Oryzias latipes: one gene and its partner. Each later gene encodes a partner of the first gene's protein in a complex. Links are inferred from orthologs where the notes say so. Each region holds a gene or a part of one and is shown in the gene's direction. Other genes may lie near its edges.

Region 1 (3,569 bases):
ACCCCGTTTTACTGCACTCGGCCCCAGAGCCTGTCGCTGGGTCACGGGGAACGGACCGCCGCCCTGGTGGGGAGCGTCGGGACCAGCGGGATTTCCAGCTTGGGGGTGTACACGCTGAACGGCCCCACGCCACAGTCGCTGCTGGGGGGGTAAGCTCTCTGGTCCGTTCACACAGAGGGGGCAGAAAGGAGGCGCACAAAGCGGTAGAAAATAACATTGTACTTTGCAAGGACGACTCTCACTTTTCCGCTGCTTTTTTTGTGATTTCTATTGTTTTAAGTTGTGAAGCACTTTGTGAATCTGAGAAAAGGGCTATATAAATAAAGATTTACTTACTTACTGCGTGGCGTGGCCGTGGCTTTTAGGAGAACAAACTCGTTAGTCTGTGGTCTAATAAAACCCACAGCGATGAAGCTAGCAGCAGCAGATGAACCGACCCGTAAAAAGGCTGTTTTAGCCGCCATTTAAGGCTGTTTCTGAGTTTTTATAGCTACATATGCACAAAGTGCAGAAAGCTGGTTGATTTGCACTAATGCAGTTTTTCATGTCAGTTTTCTGGATGCAAACTGAATAAAACCAGAATAAGAAGTTAGTTTACAGTTGAAACCATCAATTTGATAACATCCGTGACAAACATGAACCAGACTTTTCTGGTTCCAGAAAGATGAGTGAAGATGAAATGAAGTAAATAAAACAGGAGAAGAAGAAGTTAAAAAAGAAGGAAATCAAATAAATTAGTAGTACTGTAGTTTTATTGAAGTTTTTCCAGTTTTGGTCTTTTTTTTTTTTCTTTTTGCAAAAAAGCTGCGGTTTTAGAAGCTCTTTTAGTCCAAGAGTTTCTTTTCTCGCATTTTTTCAGGTTTAGGTTAAGAAATATTTTAATTTGGATTTTTTTTTCTGTTAAACTTTTTCTGAAACTCTAAAAGAGCCTTTTTTATTATTTTTATTTGTTCTTTTTCCTGCTCTTTCAGGTTTCATCCGAGGATATTTTTCTGTCTGACAGCCCCGTTCAGTGACTTTGAATAAAGAAATGCTACATTTGGATGTCGTTTTCATCGGGTTGTCTTATTGTGTTGTGTGTCTGCAGCGCACTTCCTTCAAGTGATGTGTTGGTTTTTTTGTTTCTATGTTTCAGTCAGGTGCCTCCGTCTGCCGCTGGAGCTGCTCCAACTCTGGGCTCACGGTTAGCCTGGGCTCTTCCCATAAGCTCCTCCCCTTCTGCATTGGCCCCGCCCAGCGCCCGACTTCCCCTCGGACCTCCGGTGCCGACGGCCAGAGTGATCCGTCCTCGCCAAGACGCCGATCTGACTGGTGAGCGATGCGGACACGCTCCGCAGTGTAAATCGGATTCATGAAGCCACGATTTTCAGATTTAATCATTTATTAGGGACTTTAATGAAAAAATAATACATTTCCCACAAAATGTTTAACTATTTTAATAAAAAAAACTCTAAGAAAAATAATTTCTGCTACAGAAATATTAGAAACAATCAATAAAAATTGATTCATGGGCTTTAAATTGTAAAAAAAAATAATAATAAATTTCATGGAGGTCAGAGAATGCAAATATTGAAAAACATTCTAGTAAAATGTGTTAATAAAATCTTTTATTGTATTTATAAATAGATACAGAAATGTTTACATTAAAGCCACTTATTTACAGAAATAAATAATGCAGTGTAGAAACATGTAACTTTCTAAATTAGGAAACATAAGCTCAAATGAATAAAATGAAGACATTTTCTGCTAAATATATTTTAAAGCAAACAAACTGTTAAAAATGTCCTTTGTTTCATTTAAACTTGTGTTTATTTTTTATGTTCTCTAATACAAATCATGATTTTTATCCTGTTTCTATCGTTAATCCATCAAATGTGAACTTTTAGAATAAATCTATAAATAAAATAAAAGCTCATCCTCTTCTTTAGACGTCCAGCTTTCACAATAAAAGCACAACAACCCAACACTTCCTGTTTTAATGAACAGAAAGGATAATTTTCCAGGTAAAATTAATAAAAGTCAGAGGATTTTTCTTCTTCTTCTTTAAAATTCATCACTTGCAGCTTTTCAAGGAAACCTAAAAAAAAAAATGTTTGGAAAAAGTTTAATTTGAATATTTATTAAGCTTTACAAAGTAAACCCCATTTCTAAGGTGGGTTTTTTTGGAGATGATGATTGAGTGACCTGTCCACCAGGTGAGGTCCACGAGGCTGCGCTGGTGCGGGACATCCTGTACGTCTTCCAGGGAATCGACGGGAAGTTCATCAAGATGAACGTCCAGGAGAACTGCTACAAAATCGACAGCAAGGTACTGACGGCCGCAGCCAGCAGAGGGGTGGGGGCTGCACTTTACCGGATCGATGTGAAGCTCTCTGGATAAAAGATGCCGTTTTTTGCCTTTGTGGTTTCATCAATGAGGAGTATTTTCTCCTAAACATAGACTCAGTGCTCCACCAGACCAAGATAAACGAGGCAGGAATAGAGATAATGGGATGTTTTTAGTTGTTTTTTTTAGTCTTCACACAAAAGCTGTCCTTCAGGACATGAAAATTTAATGCACCTTTTCCTTCAGAAGGTAAAAAAAAAAAACAATCGTCATCTTGATGACACTTCAGAGACGGAGCTTTGCACTCTTGAGCAAACCAAACGCAACCTTTAGTGCCTTATTTGATCTATCACTCAAAATGTAAAACTTTTATAGTGTGTGATATAAGCCCTGTAACAAACCATTAATAGTAAAAGGAATGCTAGAAAATGAAAATACTACCAATTACTGTTTTTGACAGTAATCAAAGGTGGTTAATATATCCAAAACAATATTCAAAACAGATTAATCCCAATAAAAAATCGTTCTTTTTTTCTTTCCTTTTCTGTAAACAACTTTTATTTTATGAGCGTACGATTCATTTGGACACTTCTCTAAGCCCATACAGTCGATTCAGAGGCTAGGAGGATGAGGCATCCCCAAAACGGGGCGGGGTCAAACGGGATCTGAGCAAAAAAAGTCCTTCCTTCTGCTCAGATCAAGCTTGATTCCTGGATTTTAAAAGCTCCTAAAAGCTTGTGAGTCGTTGGTCTCAGAAAATCCCATCACCTCGGGAAATATAAACAACTCACGCACGACATGAAAAAAAGTATCATAAATGTAATTATTGTTATTTCTGTTAGTATTGAGTCCAGCTCGTTGACGTCATAAAGTCGTTTTGAGAGTATTTGTTACGACTCTCCTCGACTCGAGCTGACGTTTCCTCACTAGGTGGTGCTATGCAAATCCCTGAGGGACACCAGCAGCAGACTGGCCGAACTGGGCTGGCTCCACAACAAAGTGCGGAAGTACACGGACGCCAGGAGCCTGGACCGGGCCTTCGGGTTGGTGGGGCAGGTGCGTGTGCTTCGGCTCCATCAGTGGTCCTTGTTCTTGGATGTATCCGCCCTTAACGCCCGTCTGCCTCTCTCCGTCTGCCTCAGAGCTTCTGTGCCGCGCTCCATCAGGAGCTGAAGGAGTACTACCGGCTCCTCTCGGTCCTCCACTCACAGGTAAACCCGCTACGGGAGGAGGAGGCGCCTCA
Region 2 (4,313 bases), on another chromosome or scaffold:
ATGGCTCCTTTGGTAAAAAACTTTATTCAGCAAGACAAAAGACATGAGTAAATCAGTAAATTGTCAACAAGACTTCTACTGAATTATTGCAATTTTAAAAAAAGATTGCTTTTAAAGTCCAAAACCTGCTCAATAGCACTCTGAAATTTTTCTTCAACATCAGAATCGGTCCTGAAATATAATAAGAAAATAATTTAGGTATTTAGATCTGCACAATAAATCACAGAGCTATCGCCATCTTGTTATCAGCCTGTGCAGTATGCGTATCGCAGAAGACAGTGCAATAAATCATACCATAAATGTTTACACACATGCCTAAACAATCTTATGGCAGCTTGAAGTGTTTCAAATTCAAAATAGCCTGTTAAGCTTTTGACTAATTGGATGGAGCCCTTTTATGTTAGATGCTTCCCTCCTATCAGGTAAAAGATCATTTGGAGTATAAATCAAGTTATACTGACTTTTATTTTGATAAAACTGTTGCAGTGAAATGAAAAAGATGTATTAGTTGTTTCATGTTTTACTTTGGGTTCATGTATCGTAAGTCACATCGTCATCGCAATATTGATCACCAATATCGCGAGTTTTCCTGATATCGTGCAGCCTTAGTTTAATTACAGTTTGTAATTTGCCAAATATTTAAGACTGGAATGCAATCAAAGATTTGCCACTGTTAACAAAATAAGGGATTCAGGACACACCTTGTCTGGCTGAGGTAAAAAGACTGTCGCTGGATTTCTTCTGGGTCTATGTGCACTGGGAGAAGGCTGGCCATTTCATCAATAGACCAGTTAAATCTTGGAGGGGTCTACAGAAAAGACAAGATATGAGACAAAACTACACAGCAGCCTTAAGACACATTTCTCGAAGTAAAAATTGCAAAACACACTTGCAAAAACCGGTTTCAGCTTGACTGTGTAAATAATATTCAATTTTAGTATAAGTTGTGGGTAAGAAATTAAACTTACAGCTTTACAGGACTTGGATTTAAAAACAGATGGGCTTGGAACCAAGGGTTCCCGGAGATGGTGGTAATCATTTGGACTCTCAAAGGGGTTTCTTATGGAAGGCCTGCCCGGAGTCTCTGGAGTTATCTCTAGCTCGATACGGTCCCCCATCCTGGCTGAAAATTCAAATTCAAGTTATAAAGAAAATGTATTACAAAGTACACTTAAAAACATTTTAAGTGTAAACCAACATGTATTTTTTTTACTCGATCCGTTAGCTAGCTGTGATGTTAGCTTGCAAGGAAAACAACAGTTTTAAAATCAGTTCAAAAACAACATAACACCCATAATTTAATCCTTACCGACACTGACTATGTAATTGTTTTCCGCCCCTGGTACTTACATGTTTTATCTGACTTGGACTGTAAAGCGACTAAATCAAGAGAAAGTCTTCCCCTGTCGACTCCACAGTGGTATTAGGAAGAGAACAATTCAAACGTTTATTTCAATTTCGTCCACGGAGCCAGCCAACCAATAGAATCGTTACAGAAAGTTGTTGAGGACCAATAGCGACATCTGTGTCGTCATTTCCGCTGCTAGTTTGCGGACGGTGCATCAACTTTGATGCAAGCTAAATGCTAATGCGGCATTTTATCGTATGTCAGAATCCGAGTAAAGCAAATATGAGATATTTTAAACGCGGCCGTGTTGTTTAATTGAATTGTTTTCATCAACGTTTTATCAGGGTAACATATAAGCTGTTGTGTATCTGCTAGCAAGTTCTAGCTAGCTAACTAGCGTCATCGTAATGGCAAGTGCAGCTAATGCTAACCTGAACGCAGTCCGGGAGACTATGGACGGTAAATATTTTAACTTGTGTGCACATATTAGCATATTTAATAAGAATTTCAAGATTATCATTAAATCATTCTATTAATTTTAAACTTTTCGCTTTTCCTGAACAGTTCTGCTAGAGATTTCAAGACTGCTAAACACTGGTTTGGATATGGAGTCCTTGTCCATTTGTGTGAGGCTGTGTGAGCAAGGCATCAACCCTGAAGCTCTGTCTGCTGTCATCAAGGAGCTCCGAAAAGCTTCAGAGTCTCTGAAGGTAGAAGAGAAACTACCACATCTCATTACAGACCAAAACTTATGTCCGTGTTTTTTTCTTCTTTTAGTGTTATCGCGAGTTCTATAACCATTTGGAAACCATTTGTTAAGCTTGAGTGTCATTGTTTTTTTATTTTTACATTAAAGTCTGTAATGATAAACATCATATCAGTGTAAATAGTAGTGATGGGTTGATGATGCTTTAATGAGTTTGACACATCTCCCAAACTGTTGACTCTGACATAGTGTTGCTCCCTCTCTAGTGACCCCTGCAGTAATTCTGAAATCATTGCAGGTAAATAAAATAAGAACGGCATTTTTGGTGTTTTTAACATGTTCTTGTAGCACTTTTTTATGATTGATTACATATAATAGAAAATTAACATTAAAACAGCATTTTTGATTATTTCTTAATTAAGAAACCGGAGAAGTCAAATAATGCAGTTTGAAAAACTTGCAGTTGTGACATAGAAACAACAGCCATTAGGCCAAACTCCCTGCTCTGCTCTAGTCTGATGCCTCCACTGGCAGATGAATAAATTTATGTACATTTTTGTTTTCCTCGTCTGAGCTGGAATCTGGATCAAAGCTGTTCAGGTGGATGGCTCAAATATTGTTCACTATATTTGTTGCACCGCTAGTGTGAGCTTGGGGTTGTCAGGGACTCAGTTAGCGGGAGAGTGTAAACAAGGTGTCGCTCGTCCCATCATTAGAAAATAGAGCTGTGGTATTAAAGTATTTCAGTATTTTGACTTTTATTTAACACAAGTTGTTTGATTGATGCCCACATACTAGTGAATCCTTAAACTTGATTTTTTTTTCTCTTTAGAATATTTTCTACTATTTAAATTTATTAAATATTTTATCATCCTTGCCACATCAACCCAACGATACTCTAAGCTTTAAAGTGTAAACTCAAATATTTTAATTTATAATATCTTGCTTTTTTTATGTAAAAATGGCTAAACCTGCAACTAAATCTATGAATGAGAAAAGCCGAGGACTGAAAAACATTTGGCGCATACAGATGAATTAATTCTGTTACTAAACGTCCTGAAAACAGATCCTTATGGTTTGTAAATAGAAATATAGACATGAGTTTATTTTTTAAAGAAAATGTAATTAATTAAATTTTCTCTGAGCTTCAGAAAAGCTCAAATATACTTAACATAAGTCCAGCATTCAATTTGCACTTTTACAGAACTGGCTTTGTCTGGTTTTGCAAAGTGCTTTACAGCTTCTTTCCCATTCACATACACACTTGCTGCAAAACCCAATGATCCACATGCCGAAATGAAAGCTGTTAGACTTTTCATCTGGAGTACCTCGTGCGTAAACGTCAAGCCCAACAAGACACCGACATCTAGAGGGACTGGGATCAAACTGTTTTCTGTGTGATTAATAGACTGCCTTGTGTCCCACCTGAGCCACAGCCACACCATTTCAAACAATAAATCATGATGGTTTATTACTTTTTATTTTCAGGTTTCTGAGAATTGCACAACCTGAAGATGGAATCGGAGCCCATCTGTGCAGGACTTTAATAAGATCATCCCCTGTTCCTGGATCTTTACCAGCTTTCCCGCCTCAATCCCAATCATTTTGACAGTGACTCAAATGTTTTCTACTTTTTTCATTTGTTTGTTGTTGTTTAAAAGAAAATGACTTACATTTGTTGTTTTTCAAACACACAAGACACAGATCTGAGCAGCACTGTCAAGTTTAAGCCTTCTTTTGTTTTGTTTTTTCTCTAAGCAGCATGGATGTTGGGTTTGACTGTCAGAATGTTTTATATCAGAAACATGTTGGACATTATATGTTAAAATCTTTATTGATTTTTTTTTTCAATGTATATTATTGCACTATCATTTTTTTTCTTGGTCATTTATTGGCACAAATCTATTTCTGAAGGTCCTGTAAGTTTTCAATGGAATTGTGGGAAATAAAATGTTACCATCAGTGACCACAAGGGGGAGTTCTAGTCTTTGTTCTCAGTATTTATTTAATTGTTGGGATTTTAAAACAAATACCACTTTATATTATTTCTGATTAAAAAAAACTGTAATATACATTTAAAAAAATAATATTTGGCTTTAGTTTCTTTTTTGTACGTGTCATGGTCTAATTTTGGGTCAGCAGTATAACATAATAACCTTATTTGGTTGGATTTTACAACGGAAACAATCTTTCCTGTCAGACCAGGTGAAAGGGAGAACAGACTTGAAGAACAATGCATAAATACAGAAACAATGGAGG

The links.
Region 2: the proteins of tubgcp3 (region 1) and mzt1 are in contact, whole or in part, in a cryo-EM structure (PDB 7QJD), measured with the Homo sapiens proteins. The link is inferred for Oryzias latipes from reciprocal best matches to the Homo sapiens genes TUBGCP3 and MZT1. Residues at the interface, in NP_006313.1 of Homo sapiens: Lys7, Pro9, Leu12, Leu13, Asn15, Leu16, Cys17, Arg19, Ile20, Leu21, Arg23, Val28, Gln31, Tyr34, Ala35, Val38, Ile39, Asn42, Phe43, Ala44, Pro45, Thr46, Ile58, Leu62, Arg67, Asp70, Phe74, Leu77, Lys80, Leu81; in NP_001065243.1 of Homo sapiens: Asn17, Ala20, Val21, Glu23, Thr24, Val27, Leu28, Glu30, Ile31, Ser32, Arg33, Ile34, Leu35, Asn36, Thr37, Leu39, Asp40, Glu42, Thr43, Ile46, Cys47, Val48, Arg49, Leu50, Cys51, Glu52, Gln53, Gly54, Ile55, Asn56.

Annotation. Positions count from the first base shown.
Region 1 is NC_019860.2:22,840,263-22,843,831, reverse strand, and holds part of tubgcp3 (gamma-tubulin complex component 3), read left to right. Parts: coding exon 1-149; intron 150-1,135; coding exon 1,136-1,311; intron 1,312-2,195; coding exon 2,196-2,308; intron 2,309-3,256; coding exon 3,257-3,382; intron 3,383-3,468; coding exon 3,469-3,569. UniProt on the Homo sapiens protein: Component of the gamma-tubulin ring complex (gTuRC) which mediates microtubule nucleation.
Region 2 is NC_019873.2:18,606,336-18,610,648, reverse strand, and holds mzt1 (mitotic-spindle organizing protein 1), read left to right. Parts: upstream 1-1,454; 5' UTR 1,455-1,755; coding exon 1,756-1,807; intron 1,808-1,912; coding exon 1,913-2,058; intron 2,059-3,542; coding exon 3,543-3,566; 3' UTR 3,567-4,026; downstream 4,027-4,313. Other genes in the region: bora (protein aurora borealis), read right to left, coding at 1-20, 126-171, 702-808, 969-1,118. UniProt on the Homo sapiens protein: Required for the recruitment and the assembly of the gamma-tubulin ring complex (gTuRC) at the centrosome.